Oryctolagus cuniculus: one gene and its partners. The protein of the gene in region 1 purifies or fractionates together with the protein of each later gene. This does not show direct contact. Links are inferred from orthologs where the notes say so. Each region holds a gene or a part of one and is shown in the gene's direction. Other genes may lie near its edges.

Evidence for each region. The genes of interacting proteins can lie anywhere in the genome.
Region 2: the proteins of SIRT6 (region 1) and G3BP1 purify together in Homo sapiens (affinity purification with mass spectrometry; 3 studies listed by BioGRID and IntAct, with this or other methods). This does not show direct contact. The link is inferred for Oryctolagus cuniculus from reciprocal best matches to the Homo sapiens genes SIRT6 and G3BP1.
Region 3: the proteins of SIRT6 (region 1) and USP48 purify together in Homo sapiens (affinity purification with mass spectrometry; 3 studies listed by BioGRID, with this or other methods). This does not show direct contact. The link is inferred for Oryctolagus cuniculus from reciprocal best matches to the Homo sapiens genes SIRT6 and USP48.

What each region holds. Positions count from the first base shown.
Region 1 is NC_091447.1:59,688,148-59,696,435, reverse strand, and holds SIRT6 (NAD-dependent protein deacylase sirtuin-6), read left to right. Parts: upstream 1-3,931; 5' UTR 3,932-4,006; coding exon 4,007-4,072; intron 4,073-4,810; coding exon 4,811-4,938; intron 4,939-5,055; coding exon 5,056-5,238; intron 5,239-5,346; coding exon 5,347-5,406; intron 5,407-5,622; coding exon 5,623-5,718; intron 5,719-5,799; coding exon 5,800-5,880; intron 5,881-6,030; coding exon 6,031-6,154; intron 6,155-6,228; coding exon 6,229-6,513; 3' UTR 6,514-6,756; downstream 6,757-8,288. Other genes in the region: CREB3L3 (cyclic AMP-responsive element-binding protein 3-like protein 3), read right to left, coding at 7,370-7,683, 7,837-7,936, 8,029-8,113. UniProt on the Homo sapiens protein: NAD-dependent protein deacetylase, deacylase and mono-ADP-ribosyltransferase that plays an essential role in DNA damage repair, telomere maintenance, metabolic homeostasis, inflammation, tumorigenesis and aging.
Region 2 is NC_091437.1:38,775,090-38,782,607, forward strand, and holds part of G3BP1 (ras GTPase-activating protein-binding protein 1), read left to right. Parts: intron 1-148; coding exon 149-322; intron 323-2,596; coding exon 2,597-2,687; intron 2,688-3,532; coding exon 3,533-3,626; intron 3,627-5,623; coding exon 5,624-5,825; intron 5,826-7,518. UniProt on the Homo sapiens protein: Protein involved in various processes, such as stress granule formation and innate immunity. Plays an essential role in stress granule formation.
Region 3 is NC_091438.1:149,260,334-149,267,851, forward strand, and holds part of USP48 (ubiquitin carboxyl-terminal hydrolase 48), read left to right. Parts: intron 1-722; coding exon 723-794; intron 795-4,410; coding exon 4,411-4,535; intron 4,536-4,686; coding exon 4,687-4,809; intron 4,810-5,085; coding exon 5,086-5,147; intron 5,148-5,388; coding exon 5,389-5,499; intron 5,500-6,587; coding exon 6,588-6,718; intron 6,719-7,015; coding exon 7,016-7,122; intron 7,123-7,518.

The sequences.
Region 1 (8,288 bases):
CGGCTGCGAAGCCGGGACCCTCTGCTGCCCGGCGCTCCGCACCCGCCCCTCCGCGCCCGCAGCCCACCCTGCTGGCGCCACCTGCTTCCCACGCCGAGCTGGCCGAGCCGGCACCCACGCAGGTCCCTTCCTGCCCGGCACCACAGCAGAGAGCCCGCCTCCCGCCGCCCGACCCCACTGTGGACACCATCGTCCGAGGCAGAACCTGGCCTTGGTCTCTGCTCCTGGGAGACACACGGCGCGCTCTCCGCCACGGCCGCACCCCCCCCCCCAAGCCTGCAGCAGCCACGGCCGGGAGCCCAGGCCTCCTGTGGGCAGCAGGGACCCGCGTGCTCCTGCCATCACCTGCGGCCTCCCAGGCTGCACATTGGCAGGGAGCCGGAGCCGGGATTCGAACCCGGGCCCTGCGGATACAGGACGCAGGCATTCCAGGCTCCGGGCTCAGAGAAAGGGCAGATTTGTCCAGCTCGGTCAGTGCCGCGTTCCCAGCCAAGATTCGGAGAGCACAGGGTTAACGCAAGCGCAGACCCCCTGAGTGTGGCCGTGGGAGCCCCCCACCCCGCCCCTGCCCCCACCTGGCATCAAATCCTTCAACGGGGCCTGCACACAGCAGGTGCACACTGTGTGTATGGAATGAATTAGAGAGAAAGGTAAATGGAGAGAGACAGAGAGGGAGGGGGAGAGAGAGAGGGAGGGGGGAGAGAGGGAGAGAGGGAGGGGGGAGGAGAGGACAGCGCCCTCGGTCAGGCAGCACTGAGACCCCCCTCCCGTCTACCCCACCCCCGCCGGTGGAATCGCCCCCTGTCAGGGCCTGCGGGCAGGGCCGGTGGGGGGAGGAGGAGCCGCGGAGAGCGGGGGGCGGGGCGCCAGGCTCAGCACCCCCCCCCCCCGCAGTCACGCACTCCGGTGTCGGCTTTCTCCCCCCCCCCCCCCCCCCCCCCCCCCCGCCAGGGCTCCGAACAAAAGGCGAACCTGAGTCCGGGCAGGGAAACCGGAGGAGGAGGGGGGAGGAGCGCAGGTGCAGCGCGCGCGGGCGGGCAGGGGCTGGCTGGAGGCCCCGCCCACCAGGCCTCCCACCTGCCTGGGCCCCGCCCCCGCCCAGGGCCAGGCCGCCAGACTGGGGAGGGGTCTCCTCCGAGCTGCAGGATTCTTGCAAACCCAACCGCTCCAGCCACGACCCGGCGACGGGGGTTCGGTCCCCGCCTCCGGCCGCCACCACTCAGGGACGGCCGCCAGCGGTGTGGATTTCCGCGAGAAACTCCACGGTCACCCCGCGAAGGGCCACGCGGCGCAGGCGGTGCACTGTGCCGCCCCTCCCCCCCCCCCCCGCCCGCACAGGGCTGGGGGGCGCGGTGTCTCCTGCCGGCTCTGTGGCCTCCAGCCGCCGCCTTCCCCTCTATAAAGCAGGGGTCCCGGGCCGCGCTGGGGCGCAGGGGGTTAAGGGCACGCCCTGCAGCGCCCGCATCCCACACGGGCGCCGGTTCGAGTCCCGGCTGCTCCTCTTCCAGTCCCGCTCCCTGCTTAGGGCCTGGGAGGGCAGTGGACGATGGCCCAGGTCCTTGGGCCCCTGCACCCGCGTGGGAGACCCGGATGGAGCTTCTGGCTGTGGCCCGGTCCAGCTACGACCGCTCTAGCCATTTGGGGAGTGACCCAGGGGATGGAAGACTTGTCTCTGCCTCTCAAATAAATAAAATAAATTTTAAAAAAAGAGGGATCATCAACGGCCCTACCCCAGCCAGCAAAGTTCGCTCTGCCTAACCCTGACTTTCACATTTAAAAAAAGTTATTCGGAAGGCAGAGACACGGACAGAGGTCCCCCCGCACTGGGTCCCTCCCCGGGTGCCCACGACAGCCAGGGCCGGGCCAGGTGGACGCCGGTGGCCAGGAGCTCCATCCGGGGCTCCCAGGTGGGAGGCGGGGCCCAGGCTGCACAGCAGGGAGCTGGAATTGAGCCCAGAGCCAGGACGCCAGCCAGGGGCTCTGACCCGGGATGGGCACCCCAGCGGCCCCGCGTTCTGGGTCCCGGGGACCCCTCAGCGCCCCCGCACCCTGCTCCCGCCTGAAAGCCCTGCCTCTGCCCTGAGGCCACGGGGCGAGGCTCGTCCCCAGCCCGGGTGCTCCCTCCTGGGCGCCATCACTGGCCTGCCTCCTCCAGGCAGACCCCCGGAGCGCTCCGGCCACGGGGCGGAAACCCGAGCGTTCTGACGTCGGCTGTGCGAGGGGCTCGGGGCCCGACACTGGCTTGCGGGGCCTGGGGGGGGGGGGGCGAGGCAGACGCAGGGGCCTCTCCCTCTCTGGGGCGGCCCCACCCAAGGCTGCCCGGTGCTACCCCGGGGCCTTGGCACTGGCCATCTCCTGCACCCCAAGGCGGCTCCCTCCCTCTTCCCCTCGGACCCTCGCACCTAGGTGACCTCCTCCGGGAAGCCTTCCCGGACCGCTGGAACCATCCGCTCGGCGGGAAACCCGCACCCACCCTCCCCGCGCCGCAGGCCCAGGGGGAGCAGTGGACACTCGCGAGGGTCGGCAAAGCCGTGGGCGCAGAAATCTGCGTGGGGGGGCGGTTCCTGGAGACCAGTGCTGGACACGGCGAGGGCGGGGCGGCAGGGGGCGGGGCGACAGCCCAGAGGCCAGCAGGTGCCCGGCCACAGGAGGGGACGGGGTGGGGGGCTTCAGGGGTCCCCGCGGCCTCAGACCCACCTCTGTCTTCTTAAATCGCGCCCGGAGGGTCTTCATGCCCAGTGTCCCCCTCGCCTCGTCTCTCCGGGCCTCCTGGGGAGGGGCAGGGGTGGCAGGGGGGGCGGGACCCCACCCCGGAGGGCAGGGACAGGCAGGCTGGCCCCCACCGCCCCCGCTGGCCCTCCCGGGGCCCCCTCTGGGCAGAGGCGGGTTCCGGGACCCCACTCCCTCCCGTCCACCTGCGTGCAGGCCCGCGGGGCGTCTCCAGGGGGCGCTGCGTGAGAGGGGGGTCCCCGGGGAAGGACCACCCCTACCTGGGGGCCTCCTGCCAGGGAGTAGGGGCGGGGCGCCCTGCACCTGCCCGAGAGGCGGCCTGGGCCGTGGGAGTCCCTGGGCTCAGCGGAGGGGCCGGGGTCCTCCGTGTCCCCAAAGCGCCGGGCCGGGGAGGCAGGGTGGGGCTGCGACCCCCAGGCGCGGTGGACGCCGGCAGGTGCAGCTCGGCCCCGGCCCTGCCTCTCACCTAAGTGGAGCCCCCACCCCAGGCCCCTCGCCTACCTCCCGCGGCTCCGGTGCCCCGTGCCCACCGCCGGCTCCGGTTACCCGCTCCCAGCTGGGCCTGGAGCTGATACCCGCGGCTCCCGGCGCCCGGCTGGCTCCGACACCCGATCGGCCGCGAGGCTGGGGATGAGCGAGGGAGGGGACAGGCGGCAGCTGGGCTGCCCGTTGGCCACGAGGCTGGGGGGGAGACGCCGTGCTCCCCCCATCCCCACTGCTTGGGTTTCAGTTTCTGGAAGGAGCCACGGGCTGCCCTGGGCACCTCAGCCAGCTCCTGGCCTGCCTCCTCCAGGAAGCCTTCCAGGATGCCCCAGGCTGGGGCAGGAGCCCCCTCTGAGGCCCCTCACACAGTAGGTGCGCAGCATGCGTGACCTGTCCAGCTGCCTACTGGCCAATCCCCCGGGATAAGGCTCAGGGACCACAGAGCGCCCCCCGGGGACCCTAACTGCATGGAGTCCAGGGCACATCTGCGTCAGGTTCACTAATCAGTAAAAAGGGCAAGGGGCCCCCGAGCGCTGTGCGCCCTCATTTCGGGGCCACCTCTCACGCGGGAAGCCGCTGCAACTCCCCGCCCCCAGCCCAGGGGCTTGCAAAAGCCGGGCTCCCTCCCTGCCAGTACTTAAGATGGCGTCCGCGGCGTCAGCGCGACGCGCGCGCATGCGCCCCGGCAGGCGCGTCCGTCAACGCGGTTCCGCCTTCCTGCCCGCCCCACCCCGTTTCCGGCGGAAGCCGCCTCAACAAGGGAAACTTTATTGTTCCCGCCGGGGCGGCCAGGATGTCGGTGAACTACGCGGCGGGGCTGTCGCCGTACGCAGACAAGGGCAAGTGCGGCCTCCCGGAGGTGAGCGTGGCCGCCCCCGGCGGAGGTGAGCGTGGCCGCCCCCGGGGGGCCGCGGGCGGGGCATCGCGGGAACACCGAGGGGCGCCCGGCTGGACAAGGGGAGGGACTTCCCAGGGGGCGGGAAGTGACGCCCCCCGCGCGCCGGGGACCCCGAGCGCGGCTGCCCGGGGTGGGGGGGCTGGGCCGGGGTCCCCGGGGTGATGGGGAGGGGGCGCGAGCTGGGAGTCGGCCGGGAGGGCGAGCGGGGCGACCCCCGGCTTCTCCACGCCCCCCCCACTTCCTCCTGGGTCTCCACGCCCCCTTCCTGTGAATCGGGGTGGGAGGGGGCGAGGAGGGCCCCCTCCCCGGGCAGGCGGGCCCCGCTGCGGGTGCCGGCGGGAGCCCCACGCCTCGGGCTGGTGTGGTTCCTCCTGTCCCGGAACTCACTGGACACCTGTTGTGGGCCGGGCGCAGGCTGGGGGCTGGGGGCTGGGCCCGGAGCCTGGGGGCTGGGGGCTGGGCCCGGAGCCTGGGGTGGGGGGCGAGCCAGCCGAGCAGCTGCCACTCCAGTGCGGGCACAGACAGGGGGCGCACTGACACCAGCCCAGCTGGCGGGGCAAGGCGGCGGCGAGGGGGGCGGTCCCTGTGGACACGGCCCGTGCAAAGGTCCTGTGGCCAGCGGCGGCGCAGAAGCAGCGAGGGGGCCGGGGCAGGGGGCCACCGCGCTCGAGCCGCGCCCTCTGCGCCCCCGCCCGCCAGATCTTCGACCCGCCCGAGGAGCTGGAGCGCAAGGTGCGGGAGCTGGCCTGGCTCATCTGGCAGTCGGCCAACGTGGTGGTCCACACGGGCGCGGGCATCAGCACGGCTTCGGGCATCCCCGACTTCAGGTCAGTGGGCGCGGGAGGGCGCGTCGCGGCAGGGCCAGCGCCCGGGTCGCCCAGGGCGCCGCCAGCCCCGCCCCCCGCCCTGAGTCCCAGGCCCCCTCTCCCTGCGCGCCGCCCCAGGGGCCCCCACGGCGTGTGGACCATGGAGGAGCGCGGCCTGGCGCCCAAGTTCGACACGACCTTCGAGAGCGCGCGGCCCACGCAGACGCACATGGCGCTGGTGCAGCTGCAGCGCGTGGGCCTCCTGCGCTTCCTGGTCAGCCAGAACGTGGACGGGCTGCACGTGCGCTCCGGCTTCCCCAGGTACCGCCGGCCCCGGGGGGTGCGGGCAGCTGCGGCGCGCGAGCGGTCCCGGCAGGCTTCCTGGAGGCGGCGGCCTCGAGCCGGAGCCTCCGTCTGCCTCTCCCGCAGGGACAAGCTGGCTGAGTTGCACGGGAACATGTTCGTGGAACAGTGTGCCAAGTGCAAGACGTGAGTGGGGCCGTCCGCGGGCCGTGGAGGCCAAGTTCAGGGCCGAGGGCTGCCCCAGACCCAGAGCCCCTGTCTGAACTCCCGCGGGGCTCCGGGGCCGCAGGCGGAGCTGGGACCGGCCCCTCCCCCAGAGCAGGTGGCTCCAGGCGCCCAGGGACCCCGGGAGGGAGGGGCCGGGCCGCGCCCCCACCTCCCCGCACGCCCCTCCCCCCGCAGGCAGTACGTCCGCGACGCCGTGGTGGGCAGCATGGGCCTCAAGGCCACCGGGCGCCTCTGCACCGTGGCCAAGGCCCGGGGGCTGCGGGCCTGCAGGTGAGCCCCCCCCCGCCTCCCCGCCCCCCGCCCGCCCCCCAGCCGCCCCCGGCTGCACCCCCCACCCGCTCTGCCTTGCAGGGGGGAGCTGAGAGACACCATCTTGGACTGGGAAGACGCCCTCCCCGACCGGGACCTGGCCCTCGCCGACGAGGCCAGCAGGTCTGACCCCTGCCTCCCCGCCCCCACCGCACCCCCACGCGCTCACAGTGGCGGGGGGAGGAAACGGGGAGACACAGCCAGCAGGGACTTGGGCGAAGTCCGGGAGGGCTACCTGGAGGTGGCGGCCCAGCAGCCGGCTCCCCCCCCCAGGAACGCGGACCTGTCCATCACTCTGGGGACCTCGCTGCAGATCCGGCCCAGTGGGAACCTGCCGCTGGCCACCAAGCGCCGCGGAGGGCGCCTGGTCATCGTGAACCTGCAGCCCACCAAGCACGTAGGTGCCGCCCCGCCACCCGGCCCCCCGCCGCCGTGGCCGCCCCGCCTCACCCCTCTGTGCCCCCCCCGCAGGACCGCCATGCAGACCTGCGTATCCACGGCTACGTCGATGACGTCATGACGCAGCTCATGAAGCACCTGGGGCTGCCGATCCCCGCCTGGGAGGGGCCCCGCGTGCTGGAGCGTGCCCTGCCGCCCCTGCCCCGCCCGCCGGCCCCCCTGCTCGAGCCCCGCCCCCTGCTCAACGGCTCCGCCCCCAAACAGGAGCCCCAGCGCAGCCCCAAGCGGGAGGCGCCGGACAGCCCCGCCCCCAGCCGGCCCCCGAAGCGGGTGAAGGCGGAGGCGGACCCCAGCTGACCCCAGCGGGCGGCGGGGGGCGGGGGGGGGTACGGACTCGCACCTGGGGGCCCCTCCCCCGAGGAGCCGCCCTCCCAGCTCCAGCCCAGACACAGCGGACGTCCCCGGCCCCGGGGACCCCTCCCCCACGCCAGCCCCGACCTCAGCCCCGGGCGTCAGGGACCCTGGGGGGGGGGGGCAGCCCGGCGCGGAGACCCCGGCTTCCTCCAGGCTTGGACGCAATAAAGGCAGGAGTGGCTCGGACCCTCGATGCGCACCGGGCTGGGGCTGTGTGGTCCCGGGAGCCCCCGCCCCGCCGCCGCCTGTCCGGCCGCTGTCTGCCCACCCCCGCGTGTCTGAGCGCGGCTGCACCTGCGCGTGGCCCCACTACGAGGGGCCCGGGTTTCCACCTGCCCCCAGCTGGGAGGGCTTGAGGCGCGCTCCTCCCGAGACGGGCGGGCCCCCGGCCGCTTCCTCCAGGAAGGCCGCCCACGGGGCCTGAGCCGGCACTGGGCGCCCATCGGCAGGGGGCTGGACTCAGGAGGAGCCGGGTGTGGGCCGAGGGGGGGTGCGGGGTCTTCGCCGCTGGTCCCCGACGCGGAGCCCCTGTAAGCAGCCCCCCACCCCCGCTCCAGGCCCCGACGGCGCCCGCGCGCCCGCGGCCGCTCTCCAAGGTCCTGACGCTGCCAGCCGCGAGCTCGGTCAAAATACTTTATTAAGGAACAAGGCATCTTAGAAAAGAGGGGCGGGCGTGCGCCCCGGCGGCGTCGGGGCCGGGGTCCCCGCAGCCGCGAGGGAGGCCGGAGCAGTCGCTGTGCGGCGCGGGGCCGCCCCTGGGGCTTCGCGCGTCCTGGCAGAGGCCCGGCGCGCGCGGCGCTCACAGCTCGCCCCCGGCCGCCTCCAGCCCCGCGCGGCCCGCGCTGAGCACCGGCTCGGGCGCCACCCAGTCCAGCAGGGTGGCCGGGCCCAGCTCCTCCCCCGAGTCCCCCAGAACCAAGGTGGAGTTGTCCATCGGCCCCGCGGAGCTGTCCAGCGCCTTCGGGTCCTGGAAGCCCCAGTCCTCCCCGGGGCGGCCTGGAGACCCTGGGTGCGGCGCGCCGGCCTCGGGCTGGGGTCCTGGGGCCTCGGAGCCTGGCGTGGCGTCGGGGGCCACGCGGGCCGCAGCCTCGTTGTGCAGTGTCCTGGAGAAGACTGGGGTGGGGGCGGGGCTTAGCGGCCGTCCCTCCCCTAGCCGCCAGCCTCGGGGCACAGGAGTGCAGGGGTCTCCTCCCCCAAGGCCCAGGATGGGGGGCGGGGGGCGTCCACGGTGACCGCAAGAGAGGGGCTTTGGGGGGCGGTGCCTACCTCGCAGGGGCGCGAAGTCCCCGGGGCTCTCGGCTTTGCTGGGGGTGGCGAAAGGGCTGATGGACGGGAGGACGATGAGGGCGAAGGAGAGAAGCAGCACCTGGCGGGAGGGGGCGGGGTCAGCAGCCCCGCGAGGAGGCGGCGCAGCCCCGGAGCCCCGCCCCCGCCCGCGGGCGGCCGGCTCGGACTCACCGCGATGCAGGTCCCGGTCTGCGCGGACTTGCCCGCGGACTGCGCCACGGTGGCCTGGAGCTTCCTCAGCTGCTCCAGGAGAGACCTGGGGGGCGGGGGGCGGTGGGCCTGGCTGAGCCCCCGCGGCCCTGGCTCTGCTTCCCAGAACCCCCAGCCTCGCCCAAAGCCGATTCCTCGCCAGTCCCTCTCTCTGGGTCGACAAATCCCTGGGAGCGCTCTGCTTCCCCGTGAACTCCTCCACACCCTTCAAAGCCCCAAGT
Region 2 (7,518 bases), on another chromosome or scaffold:
TTTTAAAGGTGTTAAGTGTGATCACTGAGAATAAAGTATAAAAAGCATTTAAAATAGGAGTGTTGTTTTGAAAGTTTTTTGGCTTTATTTTATTGTTGCTAGAAGCTATATAAATTATCAGTCATTAACACTTGCCTTGATTCCTTAGGAAATCCATAGGAAGGTGATGTCACAGAACTTCACCAATTGCCACACCAAGATTCGCCATGTTGATGCTCATGCTACTCTGAATGATGGTGTGGTGGTCCAGGTGATGGGACTGCTCTCCAATAATAACCAGGCTTTGAGGAGATTCATGCAGACATTTGTCCTTGCTCCTGAGGTATGTGTATAGGAATATATATAGGATTATAGTGATGCTATAGTAGTTTAATTTCACATATTTGATATGTAAAAAAAATTGAAAGATTGTATACATTTGTAAAATGTTTATGAAATTTCAACCTTACAGAAAAGTGGTAATAGTAAAACTGCTGCGTACACTTCACCTAGTGCCACTGTCAATGCTTGCTTGCTCACATGTGTGTAATCTTTTTCTATTTACCTTTAGTTTTTTCTCATAAAACACTTGAAAGTAAGTTGGAAACTTAGTGTTCTATCATCTTCAAATACTTAAGCGGCTGCTTTTTTTTAAAGATTGATCTAATTATTTGAAAGGCAGAATTAGATCTAATCCCATGCAGTCTTGGCATTCTGTTAAGAATTTATATAGGAGCTGGTGCTGTGGCATAGTGGGTAAAGCTGCTGCCTGCAGTGCTGGCATCCCATATGGGTGCCGGTTCAAGTCCTAGCTGTTCGATGTTTGATCCAGCTCTTTGGTATGGCCTGGGAAAGCAGTAGAAGATGGCCCAAGTGCTTGGGTGCCTGCACCCACATGGGAGATCCAGAGAAAGCTCCTGGCTCCTGGCTTCAGATCTGCGCAGCTCTGGCCTTTGAGGCCATCTGGGAAGTTAACCATCAGATGGAAGACCTCTCTCTCTGCCTCTGCCTTTCTGTAGCTCTGCCTTTCAAATAAATAAATAAATCTTTTTTTATTTTTAAAATAATTTATCACCAGTCATGGATTTGTCGTATAATTACTGGATTATAATCCATTATAATTATATTGTTTATAAAATATCCCAGATCTGGTCAGTGTTAACCCCTACAAGCTGCTCTTTAGTAAATTTTTTTTTTTTACTCCAGGATCATTTTTGAATTCAATTTTTTTTTTAAGGAGCCCTAGTTCTTTTTAATTAAGCTCATCACAAAAGGATCCTAGGTTTATGTTGAATAATTGCATTTGTACCCATTTCTAGACTTCACAAGGACAGGAGGCCTGTTTGCTTCACCAGCTAAAAGTGGCTTAATAAGGAATTGCTGAATAAATGATTATATTCTGTAGCATTAATCATAGTTATTTTCTGTTTAGGGAGGTGAGCCTAAAACCCATAGGCTTGGGGCCAGTGCTGTGACTCACTTGGTTAATCCTCCATCTGCGGCGCTGGCATCCCAGATGGGCGCCAGGTTCTAGTCCCGGTTGCTCCTCTTCCAGTCCAGCTCTCTGCTGTGGCCCGGGAAGGCAGTGGAGGATGGCCCAGGTGCTTGGGCCCTGCACCCCATGGGAGACCAGGAAGAAGCACCTGGCTCCTGGCACAGCGCTGGCTGTGGTGGCCATTTGGGGAGTGAACCAATGGAAGGAAGACCTTTCTCTCTATCTCTCTTTCACTATCTATAACTTTACCTGTCAAATAAATTAAAAAAAAAAAATTCTTGTGTAAATAAAGTGACTTTTTCTCTGATTTACTTGAAGTCATGGTCATGATTTTTAGACAAAGGTTTATAAAAAGTGTAGACTTGAGGGAGTTATAGATATGTGAAAAATTACATGAAGTGTGATTGTCAGTGAACAAGTTTAGTAATTCTTTTTTCTTAAGGGAAATACCTTATTTCAAACTAGTGTACTAAGTGTAAATGGTCTCACTTTAGTATAAATTATTTAAGCTGTCTTATTTAATATGCAAGGCATTGATGTACGTTAATATCCCTCTTTTGTACATGAGGAAATAGCCTTAGAAATTGAATAACTAGCAAATGACATAGTGGAATTTCCACTCAGGTATGTGTTAAGTAATGTGAGCAAGGTTTTTTTTCAGCTGCGCTATCTAGAATGTGTGTATCAGATGTCCCAGGATGCATATTTAGGGAATTTTAAGTATCTGTTAAAAGGATAATGTGAGTGCTTGTTAATGATTTGGGATGTAGACTGTGGCATCTGACCATACTCAGACTTTTTGAGCAAACAGTGTATTTTAGTGTAGTCTTTCTTCAGTCATAGTTAAAATAGGGGTTTTCAGTTGAGGCAGTGTTGACTTTTTGGGTTAGTTTTTTTGTTTAGGGCTGTGTCATGTGCATGGTACGCTATTGATAGCATCCCTGTCCTGTACTCAGCAGTTGCTGGTACCACTCTGCTGTGGTGAAGACTCAGATGTCTCCAGATGTTGGCACATGTCTTCCAGGGGAAGAATTGCCCGCAGTTTTAGGAACCGCTGTTGTACAGGGACCTGGCTTTTTAGAAGTCTGTTGAATAAGTGAAAATTTTTTGTTGGCATTGCAGGGTTCTGTTGCAAATAAATTCTATGTTCACAATGATATCTTCAGATACCAAGATGAGGTCTTTGGTGGCTTTGTCACTGAGCCTCAGGAGGGTAAGTACTCAAATACTGTAAGTTACTTGGTTAAATTTTTTAATTGTATCAGACCTTAAGAGACTGGGTTTCTTAAGTGTTGTCATTATACTCTGTTCTTTATCAGTTACTAGTGAACAGGTTAGCTTTTTCATGTTGAGATTGGGCGAAAGCATAAGACACTTAAAAGTGGACAGGTCTATTATACAATAGCCCTACCCTGCAGAAGGCCTGTTGACACTTGTACTACAGTGTACTTGGGTTAAAGGAATGCAGCCCTGACTTTAAGGAACCTAAGTCTTTTATAAGGTTAGTAAACATGATTGTGTTTTGCAACAGAGGGAAGTACTCTTCTTTTCCAAAGCTGTAATATTGAAAATGTCTGGAATCAAATGTTGTTGAAAAATAGCCTGGAATAAAGGGTAACTGTAGGAAATGGACAGAAACCAAAAAACCTGTAGAGAATAACCTCCAAAATGGTAATATTTGAGTGTTTTCTATGACTGAGATTGTTCCAGAGCTGTATATATTCTGTAATACACAGCTTTATAAATAGGTACTTTGGGTACCATTGTCCTCATTTAATAAATTTGGGCACCATGGGGCAGTAATGTGATAAAACTAGTAAGACAGTGTAGCCTCTATTCGATGACTTCAAATAGGACTTGACTCCATGTTCTTAATTGAATTAGTACCGCAGTCTTCATTTTCTCTATTAATTTGTGATATGATTTTACCAAATTGCCTTTAAAAAAAAAAAAGTGTGTGTGTGTGTATGTGTATGGTATTTCATTGTCTTTTTGATTGCTCACAATAAATACACTGAAACAGAACATTTTTTTAAGTATCTTTTCCTTCTTCCTTAGAATCTGAGGAAGAAGTAGAGGAACCTGAGGAAAGGCAGCAGACACCTGAAGTGGTACCTGATGATTCAGGAACTTTCTATGACCAGACTGTCAGGTAAGGAAGATTTTTAATGATTTCCCAAAAGAAGGGTTTTGCTTTTGGATATGTGGTTTTATTTATTTATTTGACAGATAGAGTTAATAGGAAGAGACAGAGAGAAAGGGCTTCTTTCCGCTGGTTCACTCCCCAAATGGCCATAACAGCCAGGGCTGGGCCAAGCGGAAGCCAGGAGCTTCCTTCGTGTCTCCCATGTGGGTCCAGGTGCCCACACACTTGGGCCATCTTCTGCTTTCCCAGGTCATAGCACAGAGTTGGGTCGGAAGAGCAGCAACTGGTACACAAATGGCACCCATATGGGATGCTGGCACTGTAGGCAGAAGCTTAGCCTTCTGTGCCATGGTGCCAGCTCCAGTTTTTTTTCTTTTTATGAAATTTTATTTGTTTGAAAGGAAGAGAGAGAACAGAGCCAAAGATCTCTGGTCTGCTCTTGTTTCCCCAAATGCCTGTATTAGCTGGGGTTAAAGCCAGGAACCAGGAACTTATTCCAGGACTCCAGTATGGCTGGGAGGGATCCAAGTACTTGCAGCATCACCTGCTGGCTCTCAGGATGTGCATTAGCAACAAGTTGGTATCAGAAGTGGAGCCAGGACACAGACCCAGGCTCTCCAACAGGGATATGGGCATCCCAGGTGGTGTCTTCACTGTTGTACCAAGTGCTGACTCTTATTGCCTTTTTTTCCCCCCTTGTTGACCACATCAAACATGAATGGAATTTCTTATCAAGAATTTAATTCATTGAGGTATTGCATTAAATACTTTGGGGGGGGGTACAAAATGTACAGGTATTGGAGATTAAGCATAAATTGACATTCACATGTGAGAGTAATTTTAGTATCAGTAATTTCATTACCACAGTGAGTGTATCATTGTGTCATAGGTTCTTTTTCTCTTGAATTGGAAAAGAAATGTGTTTTATAGGAATAGACTGCATGTTTATACTTGTTAACATGTAATGTCCCGAATGTTTATAATTCAGTGCTTAAAGAATATTTTTAGGTGTTTCTCAAGGTGTAGTGATGGACTAACTGTATTACTCACTTGGGTGGTTGGGTGAAAATGAAGATGCATGGTCCTATCCCAAACCTGTTGAATTAGAATTTTGGGAAGAAGAAGAGTTCCTGGTGATTTAGTTGGAACTTGAAGAATTTCCTGTTCTGGGGCCTGGTACTGTGACACAGTGAGTTAAGCTGTTGCCTCTGATGCTGGCATCCCATATGGGCACCAGCCCTAGTTGCTTCACTTCCGATTCAGCTCTCTGCTAATGCGCCTAGGAAAGCAATGGAAAATGGCTTAAGTGCCTGGGGCCCTTGCACTCATGTGGGAGATCTGGATGAAGCTCCGGGCTCCTGGCTTCTGTCTGGCTTAGCACTGACTGTTTGTGGACATTTGGGGAGTGAACCAGCAGTTGGAAGGTCTCTCTGTCTCCCCTCTCTGTAACTCAGCATTTCAAAGAAATAAGTAAATCTTGAAAAATATTTACGGTTTTGAAGCAATATTAATGATTTTTCTTTCTTCTGAAATTTTTTGAATTTTATTATAAGAATTCTGTGGGTGGTGAAATTCACATATAAAACTGAACCATTGTAACCATTTTAAGTCTGCAGCATAGTGGTGTTAACTCCATACACATTGTACAGTAGATCTTGAGAGAATGTTTTCATCTGGCAGAATAAACTATACCTGTTGAGAACAGAACTTTGTCTTCTCCCACCTCCCTGCCTATTACATTTGACGTTTTTGTTCTGTTGTGTGAGGAGTAAATTGTAATAGTTTCGGGATTGCAGCTGAATGATAAGTAAAGGTTTTGACTCATGTTCAGATTTTGCCAGTAAACTGATTCTAGTTAAGATTTGTTCATTGAGTGCTTTTTATTTTAACTCAGGTGTACAATTCTTATTTGGCAAGAGGGAGCTATTTTTGTCCGTAATTGAGAATTTTCTTGTAAGACAGGGGAAGGCTGAATGATTATTTTTTGTATTTTCTTGTGAAAGCAATGACTTGGAAGAACACCTAGAGGAACCCGTTACTGAACCAGAGCCTGATCCTGAACCAGAACCAGAACCAGAACCTGTCTCTGAAATCCAAGAGGAAAAGCCCGAGCCAGTATTAGAAGAAGCTACTCCTGAAGATGCTCAGAAGAGTTCTTCTCCAGCACCTGCAGACATAGCTCAGACAGCACAGGAAGACTTGAGGGTATGGAGAAGGCTTCACTTGTCTATTTCTACTTTATTTTTCAGAATTTCTTTTCTCCTCTACTGCTGCTTGGGTAACTTCCTCCACTGCTTACCCAGGTGCACTAGCCAGGAATTGGGTCAGAAGTAGGATGCCAGTGCTGCAGGCTGGGGCTTTAACCCCCTATGCCACACCACTGGCCCTGCTTGGTTAACCTTAATACTTAACGTTTTCATTTGTGGTTTAGGATACCTTTTTTTTTTTTTTTTTTTTTCGACAGGCAGAGTTAGACAGTGAGAGAGAGACAGAGAGAAAGGCCTTCCTCTCTGTTGGTTCACCCTGTAAGTGGCCGCTACGGCCAGCGCACTGCACCGATTCGAAACCAAGAGCCAGATGCTTCCTCCTGGTCTCCCATGAGGTTGCACGGCCCAAGGACCTGAGCCATCCTCCACTGCACTCCTGGGCCACAACAGAGAGCTAGACTGGAAGAGGAGCAACCGGGACAGAACCGGCACCCCAACTGGGACTAGAACCCCAGGGTGCCGGTGCCACAGGTGGAGGATTAGCCTAGTGAGCCGTGGCACCAGCCTAGGGTACCTTATTAAATATTGAGCCATCCCTCAGTTAAGAAGGAAGATGCCTATTGCTTTTTAACAACATAAGTAACTGCCCTGCCCCCCTTAACTTGCATACCTATTGCACTATAAATTTCAGGTGCCATTTTACCACTATGTCATTGTAAAATATTTCATCTTTAAACTGGTAAATATTTGTTAAGCAAATGGATATCATTTTTTTTAAGATAACATGGTGAAATCTTGGTAACAGTAGTAGTAGGAAGGTAACTTCTAATTAAAATGTCTGATTTCAGAAGTTTGAAGCTTTTCTGTTACCTCTCCTGAGTCCCATCAGTGTGTGTGGAAATACTGACTTTTGCTTGCACATTTCAAATAGGTTGATTGGGTCGAGAGTGGATGATAGTATAGTAGTGCAGTTAGAGAGATGATAGCTTGGGTTATGACTTGGCAGTGGAGATGGAAATGAAATAATTGGGTCAAATAACAGGTTCTGATGATTTTTTAAGTGGGCAGTTTTAAAGTGTTCAAGATGATTGTACACTCTGTATAATTGGATCCATGTTTGTAGAGTGGATCAGTTCAGTCATGAAGAGCTGAGCTAGTTTTGGGGAGAGAATTTTCTTTGATTCATAAACTTGAAATTGACTAAAAGTAGCTTCCTTTTTTCTAATTTGGCTGATGCCAAAGAATCCCCCTCCTTCTCACCCAGCCTGAAGCAGTGTTATTTTCTCGGCTGCCACCAGGAGAGTGCCTGTGGTGTGCTGCCAAGTTGGTCTGCCTGGTGCTCTGACACAGGCAGCAGCTGCTCCTTCTTCCCCCAAGGAATTATAATAACTAAATATTGAAGAGGTGAAATAAAGAAACCTCAAGGAACTCCATCCTGCCTATAAGAATTATTATGTGTATACAAAAGGTATTCTAAAAGTTCATGAAAAATGCATATTATGAAAAAACTATAAATGGATTTTACCATTTTTTTTCTTTTGATCTTGGGAATGGACATTTAACCTATGTGGTTAAGATGCCCACCTCAGAGTACCTGAGTTTGATTCCTGGTTATGGTGTCTGTCTACAATTTCCTGCTAGTGTATACCCTGTAAGACAGCGGTGATGTCTCAAATAGTTGGGTTCTTACC
Region 3 (7,518 bases), on another chromosome or scaffold:
GAGAGAGAGAGGAGACAGAATTATCTGGTCATGTCCTTCCTTTGCCCATTTCTTGACTTGAAACTTTTACTATGTATACAGTAAGTATATATTATATATATAATGTCTAATTGGTATATATTGTATTATAAGGAAAATTCATGGATAAGTATTCTAATCTCTTGAAACTTTAGATTTCTTTTTTGATTATGTCCATGGTATACAGAACTATCAATTGACAATAACAGTGTAGAAGTTTAAGGAAATCAGATATTTAAGAGATTTGTGAACAGGAAAAGCAAAGCTCTTGTTATATAGCATGTTTGATGGTAAAAGTTCATTCTTTATTTCATTTGCCTTTAAAGCTTTGTGTTCAGTCTCTAAGAATAGGTAGAGAAAGTGACATGAAACAGCATGTAGATGATGAACTTGGCTTATGACACAGGATTCTCAACCTTGGTAGAATTAATAGAAGGATATGTAAATTATTCTTCAAGTTGAAAAAGGGCACATTTTCTTACATAACCTAAACCTTTAAAAAGTTAACTGTCATTGATATATTATTCTTTCCTTTTAAGGGAAAGAAACATAATAATTCTTAGCAAGACTATGTAGACTCACTGGTAACTAATTTTCAGAATGCTTTAAAGTTTTCTTTGTTCAAAACTGCTGAGTAGTGTATCTGCTACTTTGAACTTCAAACACAACAATCAGTAGTTATTACCTGTATTTCATTTGATTAGATGAATCAAAAGAAGAAAGAAAAGAAGAGGAGGAGGAGTTAAATTTTAATGAAGATATTTTGTGTCCTCATGGTAAGCTGGAAGCACAAATCTGTTCTTAGTTTGACTTCAGCATATCATAATATTTTAAATGTCTTGCACTTCATCTTAGGGACTAAAGTGGCAGCTGTGGTGGATTAACATGTTTTCTCATGTTTTCTAAGCTATACTTGGGTTTTTTAAAAAATGTTACCCATTGATTTACTTGTTTATTTATTATCCATTCATTTGAAAGGCAGAGTGACAGCAAAAGAGAAATATCTTCGTTTCTCTGACTCCCTCCCCAAGTTGCTGCAACAGCCAGGGGTGAGCCAGAATGAAGCCAGGAGCCAGGAATGGACTCCATCTGGGTATCCTGTGTGGTAGCTGGGACCCAGTGGATTTGTTTTTAATGTTTCTATTTTCTTACCCTTCTTTTATTCATTTGTTTTATTCTATGTATTTATTCAAAAGGAGGAGAGAGAGAGAAACTGATCTCCCAATTGCCAGTTAGCTCCCCAAATTTCCAAAACAGTCAGGACTACACCAGGCTGCAGCCAGGAGCTGGGAACGCAATCCAGGTCTCCCGTGTTGAAGGCAGGGACCCAATATCTTGAATCTGCTCCCTCTGTGATCACACAGTAGCAGGAAGCTGGAGTTAGGAGCAGAACCAGGCCTCAAGCTTGTGATGTGGGGTGGGGGTGTCCCATGTAGCATCCTCACCACTCTGCCAAACCTCCTTTCCTTTCGTACCCTTCTGCAGTGTCAGCTTCTACTGGCTTTCGGTGCCAAAGTCTCACCCTTTTCTTCTTACCTTGCAAGAAAAGTCTTTTTTTTTTTTTTTTTTTTTTTTTTTTTTTTTTTTTTTTTTTTTTTAATTTAGTAGTTAACCCTCCATGTTCAGAGGAAATCATTAGAGAAGAAACTTTTTGTCACATTGAAGCACTTTTGAATTTGAAGAGCAGTCTTTTAGGGGCCAGCATTGTGGCACAGCCAGTTTGTTAAGCCACTGCTGTCACATCCTGTATCCAGGTGCCAGTTTGAGTTCTGGCTGCACCATTTCCCGTCCAGCTTCCTGTAATGTGCCTGGAAAGGCAGCTGAAGCTGGCCGAAGTTATGGATGGAGCTCATGGCTCCTGACTTCATCTTGGACCAGACTTGGCTGTTGCTATCGTTTAGGAATTAAACCAACAGATGGAATATCTCTGTCTCTCTCTCCCTTTGTCACTCTGCCATTATATATTTCTTCTTGTTATTTGGGCTATTGATGGTTTAATTTCTTTGACATCTATTGTCTGACTGTGTACTAGTTGTTCTTAACCAGCACTGTGTGGTCCTATGTGTGTCCTTGTCTTACTTGGTCTTAATGAGTGCTCACTTCAGGCACAGGTGTAGTTAATTGGCTTTATCTTTTCAAATTTAAGAAATAACATCATTTATTGCATGATACAAATCCAGTTTCTAAACATATCGTAAGTAAAAGTTAATTATTGTGAGATTTTAGACCACATTCAAATATATTAAATATTGTTATTAAAATAATAGGACGTTGGATTTAGAAATGTGACTAAGAAGCAGTACGAAGGGCTTTGTGTTTATTTACCAACCAGACTGAAGTAAAACAATCTATTCAGGTTGTTTTCTGATTGCAGAATGACTTTGTTACTCTGCTTTGAAATCATGAGTAGGTCACAGGCACACAGGCACAGTCTCTTCCTTGGAGTATCCCATCGTCACAAGGGACACCAGGCGCAGGCTCGCAGTAGGTTCAGCTGCCACTTGGAATGTGGCATCGCGTGCCAGAGTGCCAGCCTGAGCTCTGCGCACTTCTGCTCCAGTGTCCTCCTGATGCCCCGGGAAGGCAGTGGACAATGGCTCGAGTACTTGGGCCCCTGCCACCTATGTGGCAGACCAGGACGGAAATCCTGGCTTTTGACTTTGGCCTGGCCCAGACCTAGCTGTTGTGGTCTTTGTGGAAGTGAACCATTATATGGAAAATCTCTCTCTCTCTCTCCCCCTCTCACCTCTGCTTTCAAATAAGTAAATCTTTAAAAAAAAAAAAAAAAAAGTGGGGGGGGGTACATCCACAGTGTCTGTGAAATTGTCCGCAGATAGACACAGTGAAGTGCATGGGGAGATTTGTGTTGCTGTCACTTTTTTTTTTTTTTAAGATTTATTTATTTGAAAGGCAGAGTTACAGAGAAGCACAGAGAGACAGACAGACAGAAGTCTTCCATCCGCTGGTTCACTCCCTAATGGCTGTAATGGCCTGAGTTGTGCTGATCCGGAGCCAGGAGCTTCTTCCAGGCCTCCCACGCAGGTGCAAGGGCCCAAGCACATGAGCCATCTTCTACTGCTTTCCCAGGTTCATTAGCAGAGAAGTAGATCAGAAGTAGCAGTGGGGACTCAAACCGACATTACAGGCAGCAGCTTAACCCATTTCACCATAATTCTGGCTCAAACTGAATCCTTTTTTGAAAAACATGGGAAACCACTTTAAAATTATAATTGCCTGGTGTACCTAAATCTTTTTTATGGCTGTATTGGTATTTCACCATAGTCCTAGGACCACTAAATTGGGGCTAAACAATCCAATTAACTTTTTTTAAGAAAGAAAATAAGTTCCCTAATTATGTCTGAGGATAGTCATGTTGGAGTAAGTTTTCATAGCCTCAGAGGAAATTTGAATTACCAGCCTACTTAGAAATAAAGTGAAATTTTACCTTGTGACCTAATTTCTCTAGTAATAACTTTGTTGCAGGAAAATCATGGTTTTTTTTTTGTTTGTTTGTTTGTTAGTTTTTTCCCTTTTGGATAATTCAAAGCTCAGAGGCAGGGCATGGGTATTAGAAATTCGTGAGATTTGGTGGAGGTAGGCCTGGGTTCCTGGTGCAGCATTGCAGCTTCCCAGCCAGTGACCCTTGTTCATCCCTGCCTCTCAGTTGATGTTACACAAAGTGTTTCATGTGTTCGAAAAGCTGCTGACTTGATTACTGTTAATAAATCCATAGGTGCCTTTGGAAATGCAAAGGTACAGTTCCCTGGGTAATGATTTCCATCGGACGTAAGTGCAGTTCACTAATTTGCCACTTGGGAACAGTTGAAACGATTACAAACAGAAGCAGAGACAGCCAGGTGAGAGGCCCTGGAGAGCTGGCTGGGAGGCCCTGGGCTGCAGAGGGGCGGCGCCCTGGTCCTGGCCTTCCTGCCATCTGCTGACAAGAGCAGGAGTGGCCATGGCCATAACAAGTATTATTCTTGTTGCCTTCTGGAATTTTTCAAGATCCAATGAGATCTCTGAAGCAAGGGCTGGAGACAGCCTTGGAAACAGTGTCATTGGCACTCAAAATGGAGACAGTAAAGTCTGCAGGAAATTGTGACCTTCTTCTGTGGGGGTAGAGAGTGGGAGATCCCTGGAAGCCCCTTTGTACTGCTTCCTTCCTGCCGGCTGGGAGAAAACGCACACTGGTTTTTGTCTTCAGATCTTTCCACTACAGACCTAGATTGAGGACATGAAATCGAGGTTGGTGGCTATCTCTTAGAATTAAAAATACAGAGGTTTTTGAAAATAGAGAAATGTACCACTTTAGAAAAGAAGGGACCGAAAACCTATAATGTCTTTTTTCAGCTTTTCTCTCTTGTTTTCAAATGTAATTTCTTTCCCACTCAGGAGAGTTATGCATATCTGAAAACGAAAGAAGGCTTGTTTCTCAAGAGGCTTGGAGCAAGCTACAACAATACTTCCCAAAGGCTCCTGAGTTTCCAAGTTACAGAGAATGCTGTTCCCAATGCAAGGTACAGAGCTCCACTGACATCCCAGGAAAGGGCGTGCGCCTGCCTGGAATAGCTTCCCAGGGGAATTAACCTTGTGCTTCAGGTGAGGGAGTAGGGGAGGCAAGCTCTGGGCTGTCAGCAAGAGACAGTTGATTGCTTCACTTTCTTCCAGATTTTAGAAAGAGAAGGAGAAGAAAACGAAGCCTTACATAAGATGATTGCAAACGAGCAGAAGACTTCTCTCCCAAATTTGTTCCAGGACAAAAACAGACCGTGTCTCAGTAACTGGCCAGAGGTACAGTCATCCCCCCAAAGAAAGGAATTCAACTTGGCCTTTTCAGGCCCTTGCCAAATTCCTGAGAGTGCTGAAGAACAGCCTAGCTCATTCTCACTTGTTCAGTAACCTGCTCGGGGGATGTACCCCAGCTGGATGTTTCTTATTAGATGGCTGCATTTCCATTTTATTATAAAACTCCAACAAGGAAAATCACAGTGTATTTCTCATGAACAGTTTGTGCTAAGCATGCGATGAATTAAAGTGTGCCCTTTTTTTGTGGTTTTCATATTCTAGGACACGGACGTCCTCTATATAGTGTCGCAGTTTTTTGTGGAAGAATGGCGGAAATTTGTTAGGTAGAAACCAGACATTTTCTATTTCCTTCATTTTGGGTTGTCTCCCATGTTCTTGGATTCTGTTTGTGTACCTGCATGATTACTTTCAGGAGGGTACCCTGAGAGCTTGCTTTTCTCTGTGAAGTTAAATGAGTAGCTCTAAGTCACACATTTAATTATTAAGACTCTTACATAAGTATTTGAAAAAGTCTTTCTCCTGCAGTAATGAACTCTGTTTGCCCTCCTTGTCTTACTTGAATAGGAAGCCTGCTCGATGTAGCCCCGTGTCCTCGGTGGGAAACAGTGCCCTCCTGTGTCCCCACGGGGGACTCATGTTTACATTTGCGTCCATGACCAAAGAAGATTCTAAACTGTGAGTTTCTTCTCTTCGTGTGGTTTTTCTGTTTCTAATGATTAAGGCATTTCTCTTCTGACATAGTCTAAGAATCTAGTCCTTGACTGAATTGTGGGTTTTTTTGTTTTTTTCTTCCCTCTTTTCCACGTTTGTTTAATGCACTACTAGAGTGAGCACTTAAACCTTTATAAGATCAAAAAAGAAAGCAAACCTACTTCTCCAGTACAGGCAAGAGGCTGCTCCCACTCCTGTGTTCTCTGTTCCCTCCTCCCCCGCGGCTGATTAGCAGTGCTGTGGCTGCAGGTGGCCCTCTCTTCCCCAGCCACACGATCAGCCTGGTCTCAGTTGTGAGTTTGCATGCAGCTGCCAGCTGTTGGAAGCCAGGGAAGGACAGTGTCCACCTTAGCAGAGCTGCTGAGCCTAGCGTCCCCCGCGGCTCCCACAACTGACATTTGACTCCACTGCTCACTCGCTTCCCAAAGGGCTTGTCTGTGGATCTTGCCCCTGGCGCTGCATTTTGTCTTGTAAAATGGTTTCTAACTGTATGAGAGAAGGTAGAATGTCTCCAACGTTGCCAGAAAACCATGAAAGAAACCCTGAAACACCTACACAAAAAGAGAGATTTTCCTACTTGATTTAGGAAGCTCAGTTCATGTAACCAACGGCCCTCTCCCCTCCCTTCTGTTTGACTCTTCTCTTCTCCCTCCTCCTGCCCTCTCCCAGTAGCCACTCAGAAATTACTCCTTGAAATATGGCTGCTTGTGCATCGTAAAGTCATGGGGATTTTGTTTCGTTTTTTTAAACTTCAAATATAAGTATTGTCATACTGTATTTTCCCTTCCGCCACAAGCTTGGTTTATTCTACTTAGGTTTTAGAGGTTTTACCATGTTGATTCATAGAACCTCCAGTCTGTTTAGTTTTACTGCTTTTGTAACATTCCTTTGCATGACAGAATTATTATTTCTTGTTGTTGATAATCTTTATTTTCCTTCTAATTTCCTTCCCGATAAGTGATGGTGTTGGGTTTTGGTTTAGGAGACTAGTGGGTTTTGTTAGCTCTCATCGTATGCATGTGTCTTAAGGCATGTTGTGTTTTCTTGCACAGTATAGCTCTCATATGGCCCAGTGAGTGGCAAACGATACAAAAACTCTTCGTCGTGGATCATGTAATTAAAATCACAAGAACTGAAGTGGGAGATACAAACCCTTCAGAAACGCAGTATGTTTCTGAGCCTAGTAAGTCTTCATTCTGCTTTCTGGTTTCCTTGCTGGAGGAGGGAAGGGTGTGTCAGTATTTTTTTCTGTGCTTCAAGTTAAAGCTGGGACAATGTGCATGCTCCCTGGGTGAGAACTAGTACCATGCAAACATCTCAGTGTTTGTATGTTTGTTTATGGGCATTAAGTGGATGTCCTTATCATTTTTATACAACACAATAGTTACTAGAGGTTATAGCTAGTTTAATGAATATGACTAATGATTTTGGTGTATGTTTTTTATATCTTTGCTTCTTTGACTATAATTCCTTTTTGTAGAACTCTGTCCCGAGTGCAGAGAAGGCTTACTGTGTCAGCAGCAGAGGGACCTGCGAGAATACACCCAGGCTACCATCTATGTCCATAAAGTTGTGGATAATAAAAAGGTACTGGTCCCTCTTGTGGCCATGACTAGCAGTGAACAGGCTTGCTGCTGTGGGCTTCCCGAGGACATCTTAGGATGGTGTTTTCTGTCCTCTGAACTGGTTGGCATCAGAATTGCGATTGGACAGGAATTGAAAGAATTATATGACTGAATGGATTTAGTCTTTTATTAATGTGACACATCGAAGTCTACTGAATGTCAGCTGTGTGCCAGGTTGGTTGTGTTGCTAGGGATACAGTGATGAAGACAGGCAAAGCACCTGCTCTTAAATTGGAGGAGGGTGCCTGAAAAAGTTTATGGAAAATTGGATCAAAAGACTTTATTTTGATGCAAAAAAAAAAAAATATTTGAAATCCATGCATATAAAGGATGGCCAGGCCAGACTAGAGCCAGGAGC